7 linked regions of the Xenopus tropicalis genome follow. The protein of the gene in region 6 purifies or fractionates together with the protein of the main gene of each other region. This does not show direct contact. Links are inferred from orthologs where the notes say so. Each region holds a gene or a part of one and is shown on either strand. Other genes may lie near its edges. The genes, in order: sap130, sin3b, suds3, sap30l, arid4a, rbbp7 and mtf2.

Region 1 (3,500 bases), on a different chromosome or scaffold from region 6:
TCTTCATTTCCCAGGGTGCCACAGCCGTGTGGTCTGTGCTCTGAAACATCACATCACACTTTACTACTGCAACACTGCAAGTTGGAGTAATATTGTTAAAGTTGCGGTGACGCAATTCATTTCTATGGGCGGGAAGTCGCTGTGATTAGTCAGCCGCGACTGCGTTAATTAATAGTCGCGCCAACTAATTGCCCCCATGTGTGTCTTCGCCCTAAAGCCTATTCTACTTTTGCTTGCATTCGCAAGGATGACAATGATAACTAGCAAGCTCCTTTTTCCTATAAAATCACTGCATTTATTTACACACAACAGAACATTAGCACTTACCCACAGGAATGTTGGAGGCAGTCACTGCTGTAGCATGTGAAGAGTGAGTAGGCATTGTCATAGTAACAATGGCGCTCGTGGAAACTTGCGTGTGGGGAGCAGAACCTGAAAATGCAATAATAGACACACTGTTACTGCTCATGTCCCTGTTCACTAGAGTAAGGGTCTAAAACATAAGAAATATTTATAACAAAGGCCAAAAAGACAAAAAAAATGCATCTCTGTCTTCCAACTCTTTCAATGCCATACTGACCTGAAGTTGTCACAGAAGGGAGAGTGTTTGTTGCTAGAATTGGAGCCACTGTTGCTGCTGCTACTGGATTACCAGTTCCAAACAGAGTCTTCTACAGACAAAAAAAGACCTGTTAGCTAGAATGATTAGGACCTGGGGTTTACCAGATAATCTTTCCATAATTTGGATCTCCATACCTTAAGTCTACTAAAAAATAATTTAAAGGAGAAGGAAAGCTTAAGTCACTTGGGGGTGCCAAAATGTTAGGCACCCCCAAGTGACTTTAATCGCTTAACTTGTACCCCGGGCTAGTGCCCCTGTTAGGAGAAAACAGCACCAGCCCGGGGTAGCTGCGAGCGCTTCCTTCTTCCGCAGTGGCGCATTGCGCATGCACATTAGAGTGAAAAGCCGAATGTAAACAAGAAAGTCGGCTTTTCACTCTAATGCAAATGCGCCAGCCCAGGGATTTTGCCAGCAGAAGAAATGCGGAAGAAGGAAGCGCTCACTACAGGTACCCTGGGCTGGTGCGGTTTTCTCCTAACAGGGGCACCAGCCCGGGGTACAAGGTAAGCGATTAAAGTCACTTGGGGGTGCCTAACATTTTGGCACCCCCAAGTGACTTTGCCTTTCCTTCTCCTTTAAAACATAAATTAACCCCAACATAATTGATTTGCCTCTAAAAAGGAATTATTTAATTAAAATGGGGTCTACAGGAGATGGCCTTCCTGTAATTTGGAGCTTTTTGGATAATGAGATTCCAGATCTCATTCCTGTATTATGAATGAGCATAACTTAGCATAAATGATGATGATGGTTTCATAACCTGCAAGTCATTCTGTTAAAACACTTTTTCCCTCTTTCGACTTTTCATTGCAAATAGAATATTACCTTAAGATTATGCTACATATATTGGAGGAATGAAACTCAACCCCACAGAACTGCATTAATCACCCAACCTGAATTAACCATTCCACTGACTCATATAATGGATAAAACTAAACATTAAGTATAATCATACATTATAGGGAACTTTAACCATAGTTCAGTAGAAGACAAGGAATACCTGTGCCATTGCATGTAGCTGTGGCTTCTGAGCTCCTAAAGCAGGGTGTGTTGGCAGAGTAATGCGCGTGGTGGCTGCATCACGAGCCTGAGCTGATCTCTGGATACTGATTGCAGCAGGTGGTGGGTGTTGCTGGATAGACAGTGTTGGTCTGTTTCATATGGAGTCAAAAATATTAAATTTGATCAAAAATTGTAAACAATAAATGCTTTAACAGTTCTCAGACCAAATATAGTAAAATGCAAAAGGATTCCAAAATGTATATTACTAAACAGGCAAACTTTTTGGATGAAGGTTTATTTACTTTTACTTACTATTAAGTATCTCTGATACCATAACCTAGAGACCCACTATGGTGAGATTTGAGATAAACACTTCAGGATTGGATATTCTAGTAACTAAAACAAGATGATCTATATCATCATCATCCATACAACATTATTATAAGGGAATTAGGGGCCCTAAACAAATATTGTAAGACAAGAAAAAACAAACAAGTTTTGATTAAACTAAGGATTCGGGGGAATTTCAATCTTGCAAACAGTACTAGGATTCACCAATCAACAAACTGTCTTTAACTTTGTCCAGATTATAAAAAAGGTCAGTGTGCCAATAAATGGATGGGTAAAGTAAACATGCTAAATGGTGTTGATTTGTGAAAAATATAGCTGAAATTCTTAGTATAATGGCTAGTGATGGGTGAAAATTCGCAAAACGCCAATGAATTCGCTACATGCGGCTATCACATGACTTTTCTGGTGCTCACCTTAACACTGGCTCAGCAGCATGGGCTGGTGTAGTTGTTATGACTGGTGATTGCGCCCTAGTAGCCGATACTGTGGCTACCACAGCAGGAGTAACTGATGTTGTCGTTGTCACCGGAGGGCGAGACTGTAAAGATATAGAACATATATGTCAATATAGCAGCAAATGTCTGCCATTGTCTTAAAAAGAGTGAATATATAAAACATTTTATGAAGAACAGTAGTTAAGAGAGTAAGCTTAAAGGGGACCAGTCAGCCAGACATAAAAGCTGTATTATAAAAGTCCTTTTTGAATTAAACATGAAACCCAAATTTTTTTATAAACCCCTTTTTTTATAAACACATCCATACCCATTATAAAGGCATTTATCCTAGCTGTCAATCATAAATTGCCTGCCCTGCCTCTACGCCTAAGACCTAGCGGCATTTCCATTCAGCATTTCACTGCCCTCCTCACCATCTAATTGTGTAGCCAGTGCATGGGCATGTGCATGAGGTCCCCCATTTTGGCACATAAGATTCTGGCATGATGCAAAGCTTGCTTTAATAACGGTGTCCACAAAATGGGATTATGAATTTCAGGACTGAAGAAAACCAGATTTAAATAATTTATATAGTGTAAGTAAAGTTTATTCTAAAATGTGCTGAAGTTTTAAAGAAGCAATGGAGTGTAAACACTTTTAGGCCATTTTGATTTCCATGTGTTACTGGTCCTTTTTAATTGCCATCAACAGGTGGCAACACTCACAAGTCCTCTGTGGGTTATAATTTAAACAACATTGCAACAAGGAAAGACAGCATATGTAGTATTAAAATACATACCTGGATAGGGGGGTGAATAATGTGTTGAGTGGCTGATTGGGCAGCAACTGCGCTAGGTATCTGTGCTGAAGCTGGTCTTAACATAGTAGTCACTTTAGAGCTTGACATGACAGCTGCTGCAGCAGCTCCTAAGAACCAAAAAACAGAATGTGAATGAGGGATAAATGCAATGGTCACAGTGCACATCAGTCACAAAATCACTACTCATTTACCTCTGGGAAGATGAGAAGCTCCAATATGCAATGGAGGTCCTGGGGCACTACTACGGATAATTGACATCTGAACATTTGTG
Region 2 (3,500 bases), on a different chromosome or scaffold from region 6:
AAAGAAAGCGAGTTACATGCACATCAAAATTGATCTTTTATTCAAATGATTCCAAGCTAGCTGCTAACTGATCCAGAGGAAGCAAAGACACCCAAAGCTGGCTCCAGCTTGCCTCAGAAAGGTATAAATTTCCTTTGCAATTTTAAAACACCAACTGTATCAGTCCTTGGATCTAAACTACTCTGACACTTAACCTGTTTTATAGAACATACACTGACCTGAAAAGCAAGTGAATAATACCTAATTAGCATGAATTCTATTAGGGCCGTGACAGACAGGGATATTAGTCGCCCGCAACAAATCTCCCTTGTAGCTCTGATAAACTTCAGTCACACTTAACTGCTGCGCTGCAAGTTGGAGTGATATCACCTCCCAACCTTTCCCCACCCCAGCAGCCGATCAGCAGAACAATAGGAAAGTAGTAAGATAACACATCCCTAAAGGTGGCCATACACGGACCGATTTTTTACTTACAAACGACCGATTCCCGAACGATCCGATGCTATCGTTAAGTTATCGTATAGTTGGTGGTGTACGAACGATCGTCGGCCCACTAAACGAGCCGACATTATCGTCCCCAAAATCGATCGGCCAGGTTTAAAAATTTTGGTCGTTTAACGATAAAATCTGCCAGTTGGTGTGAGTGTCAGACATTTGTCTTTCAACGATTGTTCTCTGCGCATGTCACGATTGCCAGCAACGACATCGATCGTACGTAGATGTACGATCGTAGGTATTTTACGATAATGATGCGACAAAATCTTTCCCGAATTATCGTTGCCCGTGGATGGCATATCGTATGGGAACTCGATCGCCATACGATCGTTTGTCGATATAATCATTCATCGCACAACGAGCGAAATCGCCTCGTGTATGGCCACCTTAACACCTGTATTTCTTAGGATAATTATTTGTAATGTATACCATGTAATATAGTAATAAGAACTACACCATAAAAATCATGACAGGTTTTTCCTGGCGCTATACAAATTATGGACATCCAAAAAATTCACCTGCTTAAAATCATATTTACATATTTTATCACTCACCTCATCATAGACACTTTCTATCTCGTTAAGCAAGCTTTTGGAGCGCAGGGCTTTTGTGTCATTCTGCTTAAAATTGACAGCCTGGTGGTCTAAAGACTTCAAGTATGCCCTTTCATACTGCTCTCGCCATATCTTGTTAAAGCCCCGCTGTGCTTCCCGCCACTCCTCTTCTTTTGCTTTCAGTCTGTGAAACAAGCAGGATTTAAAGGCATGTAGGAGATTTTGCTGAGATATTGTTCTTACTCTGCCCTTGTACTTAAACTTTATTGTATAATAAAGTCACAGCTAAATAAGGATTGGCCCTAAAAATATATAAACTATATACTAGACCCAATTTCTCACCTCTTTAATACTACAGGTACAGCAGTAACTGGGTTTTTCTTTAGACTCTCTACAATATCTGGAGCTTTGTCCCCATATATTCTGTAGATTGCCCTGCGTTGTATAACCTCTGAAGTGCCTCCCAAGCGGTCATCTAGCCTGAACTTTTCCTGATCTTCAGGAGACATGCGGGAGAGTTTCTTTTGGACACTTTCAAGCACACGAATGGTAGCCAAATTGGTTTCCAAAACAACATCCAGCTATTAATGAGAAGGAAAGAAGTCAATGGAACAGAAAACTGCAACAGTTTAAGAAAAAAATGGAACCGCCAAAACATAAAAGGCCTTATTGTACACAATTAGAAAAAAAAAAAGTTACATTTGTTAAATTGGTTGTAAACATTTTCAACAGCTGGTAAAGGCTAGTTTTAAAAATGCTTCAAACTACAGGAAATATATAAAATACATACATCATGAAGGCAAAAAAAGGCAGTAGGAGTAAAATAAAGAAGCAGCATGAGCTGGGCAAGTCCAGTGAAACCTTATGTTAGCATTTGTGGCTTACCTCAAACCTCTCATCTTCACAGCGGTGAAGCTGCTCCTCATATGGAGTCTTTTTGGAACTCACAAAAGTAGAATCTTCAGACCACGAAGGAAATGACACCCAGGTGTCATTTAATACCTGCAAAAGAGGATGGACACATTTTTACTTTATTAATGCCAGCATGGGGAGGTACATGTACTGAAAGCAATACTGTATATGGAAAGCAGATATCCCAGATTATGGAGGAAAACATGTATACCTACATTCCTGTGGGTTCTGCAACTAACTACTATAGGTCCAAATTTTAAAAATTAAAGGTATTATTTTAAGGAGGCACAAGTGGAAAAAATGAATAACTGTCTGACAAGTGCACTTTTAGTATAAAACTTGCCATGTATTTCATGATAAAAAGTCTGGTAGCTACGTGGTCTGTAACCAGGGAGAAGGTGGTGCAGATCTTCCTGTATTTCGGAAGCAAAGGATGTGCAAGATTCTATACTAATGGAAGGCCATTTGTGTCAAGATATACAAATGGGTTTAGAATATAAATGTATTATGTTTATTTACATTTTATTTAATTTGATGTTTAGATTTTGTGAATATATTCCTTTTGTTTGTAATCAATCCTTTATTGATGTTAAAAGCCTTTGGAAATACTAAACAGATATTCAAATTCTTGTAGGTTAAAAAATATACAACAAGATGCCTAGCGATACTATGATTTGTAACCCAGAATTGGTTTACACTGAGAAACTGAATTACCTCCTTGCAGAGTGCAGTCCTCCCACTGCATTTTGGGTGTGGAAAAGATTTGGGTAGAGCACGGTAACTGGAGCCAATGCGCTTGCAGGATGCATAATCGATCTCCCGCCCAATGCCCTCATTGGAGCGGTCGTTTGTTACTGGTGAAGCAAACGAAAGCTCTTTAACACCCAAGAAAGACTTGAACTGTGCAAAGAGTTCAGGAAACTTTCTGAAAAGCACACAGAAACACAGAAGAAGAAGTTAACTATTTATTCTACATGCAAAAAAAAGAGTCCTATAATATTAGCATGGGCAGATTCATTCTAAAGGATTCAACTATTACCCCATTTCTTCCTTATGCAAAAGATACTTGTTGGTGAATCACCTAGAGGCCTGAAAATAACTCACAATTATAAAAACTGAGCAAACAGGAGGACCCAAAAGTATATTAAAAAAAAAAAAAAAATCACACGGTCTTCATGAAAACCAATAAAAGCCTTTGTGCCTCTAAACAATGGGTTTGGGGAGCCCTCACCAAAACCAATGACAAAGCTCGATGACTGTCACTCCTTTCTAATATTTTCATTTACACAGGGATTGGTGGTCAGTTTAAGTGGCAGGCCTGGGGCACCCACCCCACCCCCAGAGCATTTTAATCTCCCAGTGGCTATTGTTTAACTATTTGGAAACCAGCATTTTTAAATCTGATGTCTAAGGCTTGTGCAGGAGGGCCTCTCACTTGGCTGTGTTCATACACCTTTTAAACTTTAATAACTAGTCTCTAACATTAATATAGGTGGCAATACCACTGAGGGCACCATAATTAGGGGACCATCGATGCAG
Region 3 (3,500 bases), on a different chromosome or scaffold from region 6:
AATAGCTGCATGTCATTCAGACAGAAGGTTAGGGAGTGCCAGGGCCAGGAGGCACCAGACAGCCATATACTTAACATCTGTTTGTAGCAGACGTTACGTTCCTTACTCTACTCAGCACCCTGCACCAGAATTTTTTATTCAGTACAAGATGAATACAGCTTGCTCCTTCTATGCCATGGGTGAAAATGCACTGTGGATGGGCCTAAATGGCTGCAATTTTGGGGGATAGGATTGCTAAATGAGCCACACTGTCAGGAATGCCTAGCTTGCAGAATGCAAGAGACAGGAGATACTGTAACACTGTACAGTGTTTTGGTACATTGTAAGGCTAAAAAATGAAGCCCCATGTTAACCACTTAATACATTTGTTTAGAAATAACTAGAAAAATAATACTAAACTTAACTCTGGAGTTCAACTTAGTTGCCATACTGCACTCTTAGAAGCAAGGGGAAACATCATGAAGGTGTGCCACTACTACCTAGCTCCATGGTAACAACCACTGGTAAATTGACAGTCAGTCAACATAGAGCATGAAGATCTTTAGGTTTTTAGTGCTGTAATAAAACACAAAGATCAATGTAATCTCCCTTTATGCAATGTAACCAGACTCACCTTGTTTAAGATTCGTAAATCCTCCATGATTTGTTCATCTGTTAGCAGATAATTTAGCTGGGGTGCCAAGAATTAAGTCATAGTTCACAATGAGAAGTATATAAAAAAAAAAACGTTCCAAACAGATATATCTCTAGAAATTACACATGTAAATTTAACTATAACAATTCACAAAAATTCTTAAAACAAGCCTCAAATGTGACCCAGATACACCCCCATCCCTATAATGCAAATTGTAGGTTTGTTACCTACAATAAACATCATGATGTGTATTTACAATACTTGTTCTTGCATGATAATTCCTTAGCTCAATGATGTGTCATTAAACTGACATTATAAGGAAAACCCAAGCATCATTTTCCTCTACCACTGCACCTGCATTCTGCCATTTCCAGAACAATATATGGTATCTTTCATATACATAATTAGTATGGCAACTGACATGTAATGGAATAAAAAGTAAGTGTCCAGATATATAAAGCTGTGTGCACAATACCTTACCTAAAAGTAATTAACTGAAAAAGTAATTCTGGCCCTACTCTAAAATAGGGTAAATTTATAGCACTTTTTTTTTTTTTACTAAACAAAGTCTATTAAAAGGTGATCTCCCATGGGCTAATGGTATATACATTTTTTTTTTTTTTAATTTATCAATTTAGTGCGTGTGTTTTTATCCATCTAATGGTGAAGACACAAAGAGCTATTAGTAGCAGCTACTTTGTCACGGCTGCTAAACGCCAAAAAATACCCTGCCATAGACAATACTGAGAATTGCCTCTGCTAAAAAACATGTTGAGACCGTTATCAGTAAATGATCGGCATTGTCTATTTTAGTAGCCACTACAAGTAGCTGCTACTAGTAGCTCCATGTGTCTTCACCCTAAGGGCAGTTGTAAACGGGAGATTAGTCGATCCGCAACAAATCTTTGTTGTCATGGGGACAAATCTCCCCGCAATGCCATCCCACCAGTTGGAATGTAAATCGCTGGAAGGATGGTATACGCTGCGCTGCAATGTCCAGCAGTCGCACGTACACGTAATAGGGAACATAGATCGGAAGCTCCACTGGGGCATGGACTGTTATGACTGAAGGACAACTTCAGAAAGAGCTGCATAATCATGGCTGTGTTGTATACACGATAAAGTATGTCAAAGTCAGTCATGATAATGATTCATTTTATCAAAGTCAGTCAAAGCATCCCACTAACCGTGGGATACTTTTTTTGCTGTTTAACATCTGAAAAGCTGTCTGTGTGGCCTATAGTCATGAAATATTAAGTATTTGCAAAAGATATCAGGAGCAGGTTTTCTTCTTTTGTCTGGAATTGGCACTGGATCATTCGGCCTTCTTCGTAATTTACGTGTCATAATAGGCTTCACTTCCATGGAATCTGTAGATGGGGAGAGGACGATAAATACCACTCCTTGGCATGAGCTCATATTACTTACACAACTGCATGGGAGCATGGGCTAAAATACTGTTTGTTACAATTTGAACGTCATGCAATTCTGCAGGACCAACAAAATAAACAGTTTTAATCGTTAAGATGCATATTCAAATCTGGAAAAAAAATCCATTTTTATTTTCAGAAGAAAACAGAAGAGGAGCTCGAACAAATATATAAAACAAAATGTTCTATTGTAATAGTAATGTGTAACCTAAACAGGACATACTAAAAATAATCTCATAACATAAACCGATAACACTACTGCAATCTTCCTAACAGTGAAGGGCACGTAATTCATATAGTATGATGTGTATGGTTATCCTGAAGGCTTTTTGGCCCCTCAGCAAAAAAAACTACTCTCTCTTTTCATCACCCAATGATAAGAAATGATCAGAAAATATATGGAATTTTAGGGCCAAAGTTAATTTTAGGCATTACTACCAGTCAGAGATACTGGTCTCCTCTATTTGACTACTTAAAAATATAGCATAGAAATTTGGAAGCTTGGATTTGTGAAGTGTGGGTAAATAATGCAATGTTGGGCTAGTCCTAAAAATCCCGATGCCTGAGTTTTAGTGATGATGCTTTGAATAAGTGCGCAAATAAAGAAAAAAGGAGGGGTGACAGTGAAAAGAAGATCCCAGAACTGGAGACTCAATAACTGCTTTGATAAAACAACTTTCAAATCTACCATGATCAGTTATAAAAATGGCTGGGTTAGTAAAGGTTAAGCTATGGTAGTCCAAATGGGTTATGCACAAGTTTCTGTCTGCCCTTTATCCAATACAAGGAGTGATCCCAGAAACCCCTTTGGGATGGAAGAGGGGTTATTATTTGAGCAAGTATTAACTATCATTTCTATACTAAGGGGTCTATTCATCAAAGTACGAGTTTGAATCCCAAATTGGGAAAAATTTGGATTAAATATGATAATTTCTGATAAATGCAAATATCACGAAAACGCTTACGGGAAAAATCGCATTAGTCACGATAATATCATATTGGTGATCCGAAAGTCACCAAAATTTTCGTATCCGAACGATCGTAAACAGCAGGAAAACCTTTCTGACTTTGATTCTTCTGTGCTTAATTTTGGAAGCCTCCCATAGGACTCAAAGGCACTCAGCAGCTCCAACCTGGCCCAAGGAAAGTCACTATACCGAAGCTTGAATGAATCCGAAACTTTCTTACTCGTCACAACAATACGATTTTGTTGCAAAGTACGAAAAAGTTGCGCAAAATACAAAAAAGTTGCCGAAAATACCCACAGTACGATCAAATACGAATTTTTTGTAATTCGTACCTGTCGTACTTGAATAAATAGGCCCCACAGTGTATAGAATACAAAAACTGTTTGCACTTAACTCATTTACAGTGAATTGAAATGTTTCACTTTATTTTCAGCAAAGATTCATCTTACCTCCAGTCAATTCCATTGT
Region 4 (4,212 bases), on a different chromosome or scaffold from region 6:
AAAAGGAACTAATATTGGACAGCTTGGTCTATATGTTGTCAATCTTTTATTACACACAATTTTTCAAGAAGGGGTTTGATACCTTTATTTCAAGTTCTGTTTCCCCAACATCATGGTTTGACAGAGGTTATGAACATGGCATTGCGGATGTGGATTGCAGAATGTTTGTGCTGAAAACCAGACAATTATTTTTATACTGGACATGTGGCATCCCTATCTAGGTCATGTAGTTAGGCAGGTTATATATAGGCATTATGGTTGAACGTGATGGACGTATGTCTTTTTTCAACCCAACTTACTATGCCTGAACATTGGTGAGGGGGCAATTTTTTAGGTTTCCCCCATTAAATGTAATCACTACCCGCCTATGTAGAACTGGCCCTCCGGTTCTGTAAAATACGTTCCAGCCCTGGGTCCTGTTGTGCAGAGCAGGCCACTGTTGTCTTTTTTCAGGGTTCTAGGTATCACTAGGAACCCATTAACCTTAATAGGGAAATACATATTAAATGTCGGAATGGGAATAAACAAAGGGCTGTCTTTCAATATAAAAATTTATGATATTGTCATTATTATTCTATATTTTCTGTAGCAACCACATATCCCACAGCTCTTAACGGAAATTAAACATCAGTCCCCAGCAAAGCTTACAATCCATGATCCCTCACGTTTGCACCTCCTATGGTTGGTTTTATCAAAAGCCAAATAACCTGCCTAAAGTTTTTTTGAGTTTGGGTGAAAACCATAGTTGCTGGTGGAGATCCAGACATGAGGATCAGAACAGGCAAACATGCAGCTAATGACCTGAGCCTCCCACTGCAAGTTAGGCAGCACTAGCACACTGTGCAGAGGGCAGAGATACCTATACCTTGTACACAAGTGCATTTTGAACTAGGACCAAGAGGTGCAATTTTACTCCACTTTATCTAGCAATAACATTAAGTACATCTGTATGTAAATAGGGCCCAGTTGTATCTACCCTGAAGTTATTAACAAAGAGCAGACAAGAAAATCACCTAGAAACTAAAACAAGTAGTAAGCCAAAAATAGCAATTTTTACAGCTCTGTTTTACTACCACAACAAACTATTTCCAGAAAAACTTTGTAAACAATTTATTTGGATATTTGTATCTTTCTCAAACATTTCCCATAGAATCCCACGGAGTTTTCTCGTAACCGGATGTAGAGCGTTCTGTTACGCAGTGACTGACGGCATAGCTGACCAATCACGTTTATTTCTAAGCTCCTAGTGCGAAGGTTCACTCATAGACGGAAAAGGCGTGTGCTTACGCACAGTAAAGGAGCGCAGGACTGACCAATCGTTGTTGCGACTTGGCTTCTGGTTCCCCGCCTCCTGTTTGCGATGTTCAATGAGCGTCGGGAGGCGGGCGGAACATCAGTTGTCAGGGTGCTGGCGGCTGCACAGCTTTGGGGATGAACGGATTCAGCACGGAGGAGGATAGCCGTGATGGGCCGCCGGCCCAGGCTGCACCATTCTTTGGACAGACCTGCTGCCTTATTGATGGCGGAGAGCGCTGTCCTCGGCCCGCTGGAAACGCGTCGTTCAGTAAGAGGGTGCAGAAGAGCATCTCACAGAAGAAGCTCAAACTCGACATCGATAAGAGTGTGAGTAGATCTTTACCCCCTTGGGCACTTTTAATGGGTTAGACTACAACTCCCAGCGTCCTCATAAAGCCTTGGGAACTAGAGGCTAACTGCAGTCAGGTTATGAGACCGGCGGCAACTAACGGTTTTGTGATTAAGGCTCATAGATCCTGTCCCCCATAGAAACATGAAGCAAATATATATAATTATACATAGAAATGCACTGGCACAGACTACAGTACATACACAGAGGGTTGGATAAACAGCCTTTTATAAGTTACTGCAGGAATAACACAGGTCCTATAGTACTATAAGGAGTATATTCTAGAGATAGAAGAAGGGGGCCCTTTGTGCTACTATGAGTGGCCCCTCTGTGGTATATAGGCTTGGTTATGCGGCTTTAAAGAGATACTGACACCAGAAATTAAACCTTTTTTTTACATCTATCATAACATTGTTTTTGCATGACCTTCATAAAAGTATTTACCCAATGCTTTTATATTACCTGTCTGATCCCACATGTTCTCCTATAAGGAGGCTGCCATATTTGTCCAGCCTTTAGCATTAGAAGATATAACTGACAGGCTGAGAAGGGACAGTCAGGTTGGCAAAACAGTCAGGTTTAGGAACTTCAAGTAACAATTAATTACAAAAGCAAATCTCTCAGCGAAAATCAATCAACATGACTTAAAGGCAACTTTTTATGTACATTCATATTTTGAGGAGTCATTTTTTAGTGTCAGTATCACTTTAAGGTGGAATCCAAGTTTTTTTTTTTCAGTCTTGGATCGTTCACTGTCCCAGGTAGCAGCAGAGTTTAATGACTTTAGGGGCAGTTAGTTGTGCCCCCTAACTGCCACATGGAGAAGTGTCCCTCAGTGCTACTGGGAGCAGATACTCTCCAGTATAAACACAATCACTGCTACACAGCCCCACAGAAACACAAGACCCCTCTCTGGGCAACAGGATTACCATTTTGTCCAATGGGCATTGTAGGAGCCCTATACCGCTACAGAGGCCTGATAATGTCCTAAATACACAGCAGGGGAGCCCTTAGTAGTTTACAGATCAGAGACAGTCCTGCTGAAAAAACACCTAATGTTATTGTTGCTCAGTGCAGGTTCCCTACAGAGCTTTGTATGGAAATGTTTACATACAAACAAATCTGTATTTGATCATGTGTTGTGTTTACATGTTGACAACGTTTCCTGTTCATTTAATAGTAGATAAGTTATATCCAGACAAGGAACAGAACCTCCTTAAATACTTAGATTTGTTTTGTAACTTTGTTATTAACGTATGTTAAATGCTTTTTGGAAAGCCCTTTGTTTTGGCTTTGCAGCAAGACCACATTGGGCTAAAGAACCACTTTTGAATCGCAGTAAAATAATCCTAGATCAGGTGATGCTGGGAGGTGTAGCAGTGGCACCCACACCAGCGCTAGACATGTTTGCAGGGCATTGAAACCTGTTAATTGCGGAGGTTGTTGAGTCCTGGGCCCACACTGCACTCTGGTGTAAAAGTAAAGGGACCAATGACAGCTTAAAGTGAATTATTGTCAGTTGTTTGGTTTACTGTCTTAAACAGTTAGTAACGTATTCTCCGTGCACCACTGAAGTAACTGCAGACTTACTGTGAAAATTTAATATATATTTTGTGATTTAAAGTTTTCCTGGATTTTACTCCATTTTTATTTGTAGTTGTTCCACTAATAAATAATGCATTTCCCTGATTTTACATTTTGCAGAATTTTAGACCATTTTTTCTTGGCTCCTGATAATCCTAAAATAGGGTTTCTACTCTATATGCTCATCTTTCCTACTTTATCTTCAGGTTCGGCACCTTTACATATGTGACTTTCACAAAAATTACATCCAGAGTGTTAGGAACAAAAGAAAGCGGAAAACCAGCGATGATGGGGGGGATTCTCCAGAGCACGAAACAGATGTCCCAGAGGTGAGTTCTTTTATGCTTTTAAATGCAACAACACATAGGGCGAATTCAATCATTCTGTCTTCTGGTTGTTTTATAGCTCTGTTGACAGGGGACAGAATGTTTAAAGGACAAGTCAACCCAAAATATAATTTTAAGCAACTTTGCAATAGACATTCATTACAAAATTGCAATGGGTTTTGACTTATATTTATATAGTATTGCAATTCGAGTTCAGCAAATGCTGCTTTCAATAGCAATTACATTTACAAATAACTTTTAAAGCACTAAAATGTTTCAATAAATTCACATTGGAAAGTTGCTTGGAATTATGGTTTCTTTTATTAGGAGAATTAATTTTGGGGGTTAAAATGTCCTTTAAAGTCGACACCCTTATTTACTTGAATGATATTTGCCTAGAAACACCAGGGTCGCTTACTTGAAGGCATTTGGTTTGACCCAGTCACCACCTATCAAGGAAGTGCACCATTTGTTTTTAGGCTAATCAAGTGAATTGAGGGGCAATATCAAGCATTTTGTCCCCTTGCCCTTTGTGCTATTCAACAACATGATCATTATAAAATCACACCAGGCAGTGGTTTCAAAGAGACCAAAGAGGAATGTGAATAGAACAAGACCTAAGTAGAAAGATAATTAATCAAAACTATTTAAAAGCTG
Region 5 (3,500 bases), on a different chromosome or scaffold from region 6:
TTTATTGTTTTTATAGAAAAGAGGATTCTGAGCACAAGGGAGAGACTGAAGAAGAGGATGAAGACACAGAGGATCGAGACTATCTCGCTGGAACTAAAGTTAAAGTGAAGTATGGGCGTGGGAAAACTCAGAAAATTTATGAGGCAAATATAAAAAGCACGGAAGTGGATGGAGGAGAGCTATTATACCTGGTTCATTATTATGGCTGGAATGTAAGGTAAGTGTGAAGAATGTAGCTTTTTTTATTGTCCATATGTGCCCCACCAAAGTATTAATTTGATTATTTGTATGCTGCCAACTATTACTCAGTTTGGTCAAAACATCTAATTTCTGTCAACCCCAGGTAACCAGTTGGGAGAAACGTTTTGAATGGTGTTAATTTTTAATTCTTAATCTCAGTATGGCTCATTTTACTTCGCAAATGCAGTAGCTTTGTTTTTTCCCCACAGTGCACCATTTCTTCCCAGAATTCCAATGACATTGCAGTTGCAAGGGGGCAATGTGCTTGCAGCAGTTACACAGCAACTGCAGTTACATCTGGTTTGCCAGAATTAATGCAACTGTGCATGCATTTTCCAAATTGGATGGAATTGCACAGAAGGGAGTCTGGCCTCATTTGCAGGGATCAGCAAGTGACACCTGCACCTTGTTCTAAAGGCGCAACTTACTGCACCTATTGACACAGGAGCTACCGCATGGTCAGGAGGTGCCAGTAGTGCCAGGAATCCCCTCCGTTAATAGGTGCAGCAGCACTACATGAATCGAAAAAAGTGAAAGCAGGAAGGAACTGGAGCCATTGTCAACACTGGGTCACATTCAGTCTGTTCAGACAAGATTTTGGAAAGCACAGGCTAAATAAAAATTCCTCTTGACACTGGCAGTCAATACACCCCATCTGATATTATACTTGGAGGTTTTATAAACCACAGCTAGGCTTAGCTTATTCCTTTTGCTTTCAATGTTTACACTTTGTTATCTAAGAGGCAATGTCCTACAGCATATAGTTTTGTTTCAGTAGCATGATAATGTACTCTCTTGCAGATATGATGAATGGGTAAAAGCTGACAGAATCATCTGGCCTTCAGACAAGGGTGGACCAAAGAAAAAGCAAAAGAAAAAAACAAAAGTAATTACAAAACAATTTTTTTTTTAATTAACCATTTACCATGTTCCATGAGTCTTTCTGCTTAAAAAGTGAGGAATAAACCATACAAATTTTAGAGGGCCAGAACAACCCCTTTTTGAAAATATGTTTATCTTGTCTGTGGATTTTTCTGAGTCTTTAATTTATATACATTATTTATTTTAATTTATTATTTCCCTGCCAGAATAAAGATGAAAATGAAGAAAAGAAAGAGGATGATAAGCGATCAAAACGAGGCCGTCCTCCTTTAAAGTCAGCTCATCAGACTAATATGACCTGTGGTCTGCCAAAAACTCCGACTAGCGAGGGCAAGACATCCGTTAAAAACATGAGAAATAGCTTATCGGATAGCTCCTCATTATCAAATGGGCTAGAAGGTAAATGTAGTGCAAATAAAAGTCATAATGAAGGGCTTAGGTTACAAGCATTGTTTAAAATGTATACTGTTTGTTCATATGTATTTTCATTTTACTTAGTTATTATATTTTCCTTTGTATAATAGGATCAGCCAGGAGAAGAACAAGGAGGAGCTCTGGATTATATGATTCTGACAGATGCTCAAATGGTGGGTATTGGGTAACCAGAGCATTTTCATTATGACTTTTATAGCTACCACATATTTTGATAGTATTTTAGTAGTTCTTGCACACCCAGTTGTCATTCTTTGATTATTTTTCGGTATATCACATTCTTTTGATATTGTTTTTGCTGAATAATACCCACTTGAGAATAGAAACAAAATCCTAGATGAGACCCATAATCAGTAAATAGCTTATGAGTTTAATGAGTTTATTGGAATACTCAAAGAAGAGGGTAAGCTATAAGATGGGTACAGCCTAATCTTTCGAGTAATAGGCTATTTACAAACAACCTATATCTTTGAGTGGACAGATGTCTAACATTCTAGCCAGAACATTACTTCCTACTTTCAGCTTTCTAACCTCTTAAGCTGGCCATACACGCACCGATAATATCGTACGAAACCCCGTTTCGTATGATATTCAGTATGTGTATGGCGAGTCGACTGATATCGCAAGAGGCTGCTGATATCGGTCGACTCGCCGATCGGCCAGGTTAGAAGGCGCCTGATCAAAATCTGCCTTAAGGGCTGAATCGGCAGAAGGAGGTAGAAATCCTATTGTTTCTACCTCCTTATCTGTGGCCGACCGATGGTCGCACGAAAGATCGGAAATCGCCACGTGTGTGGCCACCTTTAGTCAGTGACTTTAGGGGGGGGCCACATGGGACATAACTGTTCATTTAGTTTGTGAGCATGAAGGTCAGATTCAAATGCAAACTAACTAAACAGGTATGTCCTTTATGGCCCCCCTCAAGTCAATGATTGGTTACTGACTGCTAACGGCTTAGAAAGCTGTAAAGGAGGAAGTAGAGCTCTGGCCATTATGTTAGGCAAAAATATAATCTATAAAGGCAGATGTCTATCTATATTGAAAACTTTTATATTTTACCCAGTTTCATTTTAATACTGAACTGCTCCTTTAACCTTTATGATTGCACTTTTTAAACCAACATGATGGCTTCTCTAATTAGTTTGAATTTTTGGTGGCTTATTCTGCCATTTTGTTAAGAAACATGTAGTCTGTTACTGTTTTCAGTTAAGATCCAAATAATCATAGCCATAAATGTAGCTTAAGCTCTAGAGCAAAAAAAACATGTTGCTCACACAAAAATAGCGTTGCTCACATCTTTTGACCAATCAGACATGATTATGTCATGGTAAGCATACTAAAAGCAACACTATACAGATCATGAAACAGAAATGTGCCTGATCCTTATTATGCAAACGGATGCATTTATTCTTATATTAATGTTACATGGAGTTGTTATAAGCTTTTATAAGCTATAGAATGACTAAGCACTGTTAAGAAGAATAATTTGATCCTTATTAATATATTTATTAATATGCCTTAAACATTTTGAATTACCAGCAAAGACATTTTTACAATTCAGTTTTATTTCAAAAGATATCATTAACATGCCTCTTCTAACTCTTGTTTATTATTTCCCATCCCAGACTCAAGCACATCTGAAAGTGAATCTGATGAAACATCAGAAAAGGCATCAGTAAAAGAGGAGGAGGTCCTACCAAAGGCTGAAGAAGAACCAGAGAACATTTTAAGCCTAGTTGATATCAGTCCTGTAAAGGAAGTGCCGCCAGTAATTTGTCTTCTAAAAGATCCGGAACACAGTCCAACAAAGCCAGCAGAAACTTTAAAACAAGAAGTGGAGGAAAGTGAACAAATCGTTCAGATTTACGGAAAGCAAACAGAAGAATTGGAAGAAATAAAGGAGGCAGAACATCTGCCAAAGTCCAAGGGAAGGAGAAGTAAAACAA
Region 6 (3,025 bases):
ATCACATTGTTTTAAGTGTTTGTAATAAAGTTTTGGCTGAATATTAGTGATTTGGTGAATCCAGGAACCAGAAAAAAAATACAAAATTGTAACTTCTGAGCTACATTACTTTTTTTTTACAATCCAAGTTTTTTGTGATCTCTAAAAAGGACAAAACAGAGTATTTCAAGGGGCATTGTTTCATATTTTGTAAAGGTCTTTCACAAATGTAAATCTGGCATTTTATCTACTCATTTCTGTACATGTAAGTAAATATGAATGTTTAATAGAACAGTGTCTTTTTTCTTTGCATAGCCAACTCGAATATCCATTACCTGCCTCTCACACACACAAAATCCCCTTTAAATGGACTTAGACAATCTCCAATCTTTACACATACAATTCTTTTAAATTGTCCTGCCCTGAGACCACTGTGCCATGGTGTTTGGTGCCATGTGTTTTAAGGCGAACATTAATGTGCAAACTTTGTACTTTCCCCCCCAAAATACAAAATGTTAAGATTGTTATTAATTTTTTTTTTTTATTCCATCAGCCGCTTCAGCGAGTCCCCCAGGTATCCAATACAAAGAGCAAGAATATTACAATACAATTTACAAAGAAAATGTCAATACATGTACTCAGAATTGCAAATTAACTTACACAAACATTAACCACGTCACAAATGTGGCAGCATCTGCAATAGTGAGTGTGAATAAGAAAAAGGAAAAAGATCTATGATCCTTGAGCTTCTAGCTCAGAAGCTGGTATGTCAGGTTCTTCATCATTGTAAATATTTTCAGCCTGCAAGAAATAGAGTTAATAGTTTATTAATGAATCAGACAACAGCAGATACAAAAGTACTGAACTGATCATCTAGGTGTATCTCAACAAGAGTCAGCGATTTGCAATAAGTAACTGCTAAAACAAAGACAAATGTAGGTTGAGGAAGCAAATTCAAAACACTGATCATTTCACGATCTGGTAAAAAAAAAAAAAAAAAAGTCATGTCCCGCCTTTAGGCCACATGACATGAGAGGATATAGCCATGCAGTGGGCAGTGTTTTCACATTTATTGTTAGGATTCACCCGTCACTGTGGCTAAAAGTAGTTACAAATTTTATCAGCATGCTGCCACTTAATTGTTTCAGAAGAAAAAAAAAAGTTAAAATGGGTCAAAGGCTTTTTTCCCCCCTGTATTTTATGCTCATGTTGCTCCTATTTAATAACTCACCATCTGCCATATTTGCATGATGTTATCTTCAGACACTGAACATATCACCCATGGTTCATTTGGGTTCCAGCTGAAGTCAGAGATTTTTGCTGTGTGCCCTCCATGTATAAACTAAAAGACAAGTAACCATTTTATAACATCATTTATACTATTGGATAACACCTGAATCTAGAGTTTGAGATAAGGGGATCCCTTCTGTAAGTATGATCTTTATCTGCTAAACCATTACAGCGCATTCTAAGTTGACCAAATGCTGGGTGGGGGGGGGGGGGTATCTGAGATGTTCACACATCTGATTAGAATGTAATTTGTGATCATAATGAGAAATCTGCCAGTTAATGCTAAGAGATTAGCATAACGGCCATGTTTTACATTCAACCAATATATGACTGAAGCCCAGATTGTAGCCTAGCTAAGGTAAAATTGCTTATCAGAATGACCCTGAGCTTTTATGCTTACTACATAAACAGAAAGACTGTATGCTGTTATTTGAGGCAAGATGCCTTACTGAAAAACTCCCCACAATATGGGGTGCTCTACCCAGTACTGAAACCTTTGCATGTGTCATATGATCAATCAAGGCCTAAAATGATTTTGCCATAGGGCTTGGCTGCTGCTAGTGACGGTATTGGATGTAGCTTAAACAAACTTGTTAAGGGATGAAAAAGTATTGCCCATCCCACTTCTATAATTCCTAGTTACCCAATTCTAGTTCTCATCACAAACATACCAAAAGCTCAGGAGGTCCATCCTCAGCATCTTCTGCTGACTGCTCTTCTCCAATTTTACTGTCAGAAAGGTAAATAAAAAGACAAACAGTGAACACATACTCTTTGCCATGAACCACACACTTTTCTATTTAAGCTCCAACACAGTATTTCTTATTTGTTCAGACTCCTTTAAAACAATAATCCCATTTAAGGGGAAAATAGTAAATGCTGCATCACTCTCCCTGATTGTACTGTATCAGTACCAGACTTCTCCTGTATATTACACTTATTTCACAATTCCTAATGTTGAAACCATGCTTAGGACATTACTAGTATTAATCAAAACGTGTGATTTTACAGTTTTTACTGCACAAAAAAAAGTCCTTGCATGAAAAGGGCAGGTTATAGTGTGGCTTACTCAAAGCTTCACATTATTATCACAATAGGCTAGTGATCCCCAACCAGTGGCTCGGGGGCAACATGTTGCTCACCAATCCCTTGGATGTTGCTCTCAGTGCCCCCAAACTAGGTAGTTATTTTTGAATTCCTGACTTGGGGGCAAGTTTTGGTTGAATAAAAACAAGATTTATTACCAGATAAAGCCTCCTGTAAGATGATGGTGTACATAGAGGCTACCTAATAGCCAATCTTAGCCCTTATTTGACACCTCGATGAACTTTTATGAGGATTGTGTTGCTCTTTTTACATTTGACTGTGGCTCATTAGTAATAAAGTTTGGAGACCTCTGCAATAGGCCATAGACAAATGGAGACTTTTGCATTGGGCTGCAAAAATATTTTTTTACTTCTGTGGAAGAGCAGTTTTTCTACTGTAATTTTCCAATAAAATATGAACATGCCAGACCATATTTTACAAGATATGAAAATCACCTTAAATCCCAGACATTAAGTCTTCGATCTGTACCGCTGGAAGCTAAAATAGTTTCATTATGAGGAGACCAGTGAACCTAGAGAGGATTATAGAAAATATAATTACAACATTACAACATTTATTTGGTAATACGAGTCCAGATATAATGATGGGGTTAAAACAAACCTGGAAAATTTCATCCTTATGAGATTCGAAGGAATGGAGCTTCAGCTTT
Region 7 (3,500 bases), on a different chromosome or scaffold from region 6:
TTAATAAGGATCTGAATACCTTTGCATGGCACTACATAGGAAACTAACTCACCTCACCTACTGTTTGTTGTATCGATACAGCAGGTTAAGCTTCACCTGCTTTCTGAGACAAAATGGAGAGGGACAGTGTGCATGGTCTGCTTAAAACAGCAGCAGAATACAGCAAGGTCCATGGGCAAGGCCTAAGGAGAGTGTTCAGTGCCCTCAAGAGCAGCTTCCTCAGGCAAGGTTGCAAACAGTTAATGCTGGCCAAGAATGTTTGATGTATGTGTGTATATTTTTATTGATACAGTGCTACTTATGCACACAGCACTGTGCAACAGAAGTTGACTGAGCACAGAGGGAATAACCTATTTGAAAGTCATTCAAGGTGGGGCCAGATACATTCCCTGGGCAGTAAGGAGGGATTTTAAGAATCAAGTCCCAAAGGAACATGGAGCACGTAGCCAGTAAAAAAAATAACAAAAAGACTGTTGATGAGTCCCTAGCTGTCCCAGGTACTTCATGTGTCACTGGAGGGCATGCAGAAGACAGCACTAACTAAAACAGAAACCTTAAAAAATACTAAACCTCTTCTATGCCTCATACCACACGATACACTCTGGTTTCATAAAAATGAGCTTCTGACTATTTTCAAAACAAGTTTACAACTATACTGCTCTTTGTATAGTATGAGAATGTTCTTACATTTGCCAGAGATGGGGTTTCACATGGCTCATTTTGCAAAATTTTTCTCCTGTGAGAACCTGGTGGTCTTCCAACTGGTTTCCTCTTTTTCACCTCACCATTGTTTATCTCTCTAAAATATAGTGGGTAAAAAATTGAAATAATGAGGACAAACATGTTTCTTGTCAGAAAGTTTATGCTTCACTTTTTCATGTACTAACATTTTCCTGCTTGTACTGATGTATTTTAATGTTACATGTTCTGCATAATGTTTTGTACCTATGCTGGCATTCTGGAGAGTAATAGCGTCATTGTAAGGCTTTTGTAAGAAAACTTAAGGCTAATGCCAGACGAGGCGTAGGGCGGATATTTTCGGCAAGCGGAAAAGTGCGTGCTGAAAATTCTGCCCTACACCTCCTACATGTGCCTGCACCTGAATGAATGAGATACGCTCATAAATTAATTTTCCATTTTCTTTTCTGCATTCACTGTGTGTCTTTGCCCTATTAGGTAAATTGCTTTAGGTATGAAGAATCCACACAAGTTTAAAAAAAAAAAAAAATCTATTTTCGGTTAAACAAGCACAATATGAATAATAAAAAGGATGGAGAATCTTACTTTGTGACAGGTGTAACCTTTGAAGACTTTCTGCCCTTAATCTTGAACTCATGAGATGTACTTTCCTCTTTTTCCATTTTAACTGCTGCATTAGGAGGCACTGGAGGAACTCTAATTCTCAAGCCAAACAAATGTTTCTTTTTCTTAATTTCTTTTCCAGACATAAACCTAACACAACATTCAATAAATACAGTGTTAATTTGTTACAAACAATGCACAGGTAGATTTCATTTGTACATAATACAATATGATACAATACAATATAATAGTCCCTGTTTATATATTTCCTACAGAATAACCTGTTTCAGTTTCATACTTCAAACTCCTTTGAAGTCCAAATGGTTGTTTAGCAGTCTACACGGTTTCTTGTTCATCTAATTACTCTTACACCAATGAACAGTAGAAACCATTTATAACATGCATTGTGCACCTGACAAATAGAAGACTAAACTCAAAACCCTAAAATAACAAGCAATGTTACTATTCAAAACCTTTCATTGCTAGATAAGAGCTATAGGAGGTGTGAACCTTTATACGGAGTGGCCCTTTTCCTATAACAAATGGTCTTTCTTAAGCACTTTCACAGCTCTGTATAGATTTTTGCCAGCAGTTAGGCTCAATGCCAAAAATTTTGTGTCTGTTCCCTAGATTTCAGGCCACCAAATGAACTTTAGACACATTTTTGGATGCAATTGTTTATACTTTATGTACTGAACTATAGCCCACTCACAGTGCTACTCATTCCACAGAAATTCTCCTTTTGCCATGGGATTTTATATGTATGTATACTTTTATTCTCCTTTATTTAATGAAACTTGGGTTATAATACGGTAAACTGTTGGCAGATACTTTTGTAATTGGCTTTCTCGCTTTATAAGTTTCTTATAAAGGAGTTCTACAGACTCTATTTTCTAAATATGTAAATGTATTTAATGGAGATCATATATATTAAACCAAAAGGTGCTAGTTTCCTAACCAACCATATATCAGCTGGATGTATTCGGATCATTTAAAACTAAACAGAATTAAAACAAATAACTTACATTGTTTTATTTTCATTTAATGCATCCAGAATATGTTCATATCTTTCTGATCTTGGTGTGTCAGCCAGCTGAAAGGATAAAACAGTCAGACCATAAAAACAAAATAATCAATAATGCTGAAAACACTAATGACTGATCACCCATCACATACAATTGGTTTAGACTGGTATTCATTGATAAAAGCTGCTAATTCGGTCCCTATTGGGCTGTGTATAGGGCCTTCTGATGTGCCTGTCCAATCAATATCTGTCTGAAAATTGGCCAGATATTGATCAGACAGGTTTAAAAATCATGTCAGCTTTGGCTTTCATTGGCTTGTTGATATGGTCCTTGCCCCAATAGCCTGCATTCCGTTGTTACTCTTATTTAGGAATGCAGATGTGGTTTGGCATTCAATTAAATCATCTTATGACTGTGGTCAGACATGAAAATGGATTCAATGCATTCCCAAGAGAAATCTACCACATCATAGAAAGAAACCAAACAAGTGCATCCATGAACACCAATTAAACATCAGGAGAAGGCAACAACCCAGCAGCAGGAACGCTACCTCCGCCTTTGTGCAAAGAGGAACATGAGAAGCACTGCCAAATGGAGAAGTCCTGCAAAATGACCTCCAGTGGGTCACAAATGTGTATGTGTCTGCTCAGTCAGAAACAGACTCCATGAGGGTGGTATGAGGGCCCAACGTTCACAGGTGGGGGTTGCACTTACAGCCCAACACCGTGCAGGACGTTTGGCATTTGCCAGAGAACAACAAGATTGGCAAATTCGCCACTGGCGCCCCCGTGCTCTTCGAAGATGAAAGCAGGTTCACACTGAGCACATGTGACAGACGTGACAGAGTCTGGAGACGCCGTGAAGAACGTTCCGCTGCCTGCAACATCCTCCAGCATGACCAGTTTGGTAGTGGGTCAGTAATGGTGTGGGGTGGCATTTCTTTGGGGGCCGCACAGCCCTCCATGTGCTCGTCAGAGGTAGCCTGACTGCCATTAGGTACCAAGATGAGATCCTCAGACCCCTTGTGAGACCATATGCTAGTGCGGTTGGCCCTGGGTTCCTCCTAATGCAAGACAATGCTAGACCTCATGTGGCTGGAGTGTGTCAGCAGTTCTTGCAAGACGAAGGCATTGATGCTATGGACTGGAACTCCCGTTCCCCAGACCTGAATCC

What was found.
Region 1: the proteins of rbbp7 (region 6) and sap130 purify together in Homo sapiens (affinity purification with mass spectrometry; 3 studies listed by BioGRID and IntAct, counting the BioPlex papers as one, with this or other methods). This does not show direct contact. The link is inferred for Xenopus tropicalis from reciprocal best matches to the Homo sapiens genes RBBP7 and SAP130.
Region 2: the proteins of rbbp7 (region 6) and sin3b purify together in Homo sapiens (affinity purification with mass spectrometry; 5 studies listed by BioGRID and IntAct, counting the BioPlex papers as one, with this or other methods). This does not show direct contact. The link is inferred for Xenopus tropicalis from reciprocal best matches to the Homo sapiens genes RBBP7 and SIN3B.
Region 3: the proteins of rbbp7 (region 6) and suds3 purify together in Homo sapiens (affinity purification with mass spectrometry; 3 studies listed by BioGRID and IntAct, counting the BioPlex papers as one, with this or other methods). This does not show direct contact. The link is inferred for Xenopus tropicalis from reciprocal best matches to the Homo sapiens genes RBBP7 and SUDS3.
Region 4: the proteins of rbbp7 (region 6) and sap30l purify together in Homo sapiens (affinity purification with mass spectrometry; 3 studies listed by BioGRID and IntAct, counting the BioPlex papers as one, with this or other methods). This does not show direct contact. The link is inferred for Xenopus tropicalis from reciprocal best matches to the Homo sapiens genes RBBP7 and SAP30L.
Region 5: the proteins of rbbp7 (region 6) and arid4a purify together in Homo sapiens (affinity purification with mass spectrometry; 4 studies listed by BioGRID and IntAct, counting the BioPlex papers as one, with this or other methods). This does not show direct contact. The link is inferred for Xenopus tropicalis from reciprocal best matches to the Homo sapiens genes RBBP7 and ARID4A.
Region 7: the proteins of rbbp7 (region 6) and mtf2 purify together in Homo sapiens (affinity purification with mass spectrometry; 4 studies listed by BioGRID and IntAct, counting the BioPlex papers as one, with this or other methods). This does not show direct contact. The link is inferred for Xenopus tropicalis from reciprocal best matches to the Homo sapiens genes RBBP7 and MTF2.

The regions. Positions count from the first base shown.
Region 1 is NC_030681.2:125,407,837-125,411,336, forward strand, and holds part of sap130 (histone deacetylase complex subunit SAP130), read right to left. Parts: coding exon 3,421-3,500; intron 3,337-3,420; coding exon 3,209-3,336; intron 2,514-3,208; coding exon 2,389-2,513; intron 1,774-2,388; coding exon 1,623-1,773; intron 672-1,622; coding exon 581-671; intron 433-580; coding exon 328-432; intron 1-327. UniProt on the Homo sapiens protein: Acts as a transcriptional repressor. May function in the assembly and/or enzymatic activity of the mSin3A corepressor complex or in mediating interactions between the complex and other regulatory complexes.
Region 2 is NC_030677.2:111,966,178-111,969,677, reverse strand, and holds part of sin3b (paired amphipathic helix protein Sin3b), read right to left. Parts: intron 2,887-3,500; coding exon 2,676-2,886; intron 2,052-2,675; coding exon 1,935-2,051; intron 1,631-1,934; coding exon 1,392-1,630; intron 1,234-1,391; coding exon 1,050-1,233; intron 1-1,049.
Region 3 is NC_030677.2:165,508,454-165,511,953, reverse strand, and holds part of suds3 (sin3 histone deacetylase corepressor complex component SDS3), read right to left. Parts: coding exon 3,482-3,500; intron 2,005-3,481; coding exon 1,909-2,004; intron 676-1,908; coding exon 614-675; intron 1-613.
Region 4 is NC_030679.2:19,589,912-19,594,123, forward strand, and holds the start of sap30l (histone deacetylase complex subunit SAP30L), read left to right. Parts: upstream 1-1,412; 5' UTR 1,413-1,431; coding exon 1,432-1,623; intron 1,624-3,435; coding exon 3,436-3,558; intron 3,559-4,212.
Region 5 is NC_030684.2:103,522,562-103,526,061, reverse strand, and holds part of arid4a (AT-rich interactive domain-containing protein 4A), read left to right. Parts: intron 1-16; coding exon 17-217; intron 218-1,041; coding exon 1,042-1,126; intron 1,127-1,328; coding exon 1,329-1,521; intron 1,522-1,646; coding exon 1,647-1,709; intron 1,710-3,179; coding exon 3,180-3,500.
Region 6 is NC_030678.2:94,684,588-94,687,612, forward strand, and holds the end of rbbp7 (histone-binding protein RBBP7), read right to left. Parts: coding exon 2,977-3,025; intron 2,888-2,976; coding exon 2,811-2,887; intron 1,999-2,810; coding exon 1,941-1,998; intron 1,322-1,940; coding exon 1,211-1,321; intron 781-1,210; coding exon 712-780; 3' UTR 501-711; downstream 1-500. UniProt on the Homo sapiens protein: Core histone-binding subunit that may target chromatin remodeling factors, histone acetyltransferases and histone deacetylases to their histone substrates in a manner that is regulated by nucleosomal DNA.
Region 7 is NC_030680.2:104,201,370-104,204,869, forward strand, and holds part of mtf2 (metal-response element-binding transcription factor 2), read right to left. Parts: intron 2,396-3,500; coding exon 2,328-2,395; intron 1,453-2,327; coding exon 1,285-1,452; intron 800-1,284; coding exon 688-799; intron 1-687. UniProt on the Homo sapiens protein: Polycomb group (PcG) protein that specifically binds histone H3 trimethylated at 'Lys-36' (H3K36me3) and recruits the PRC2 complex, thus enhancing PRC2 H3K27me3 methylation activity.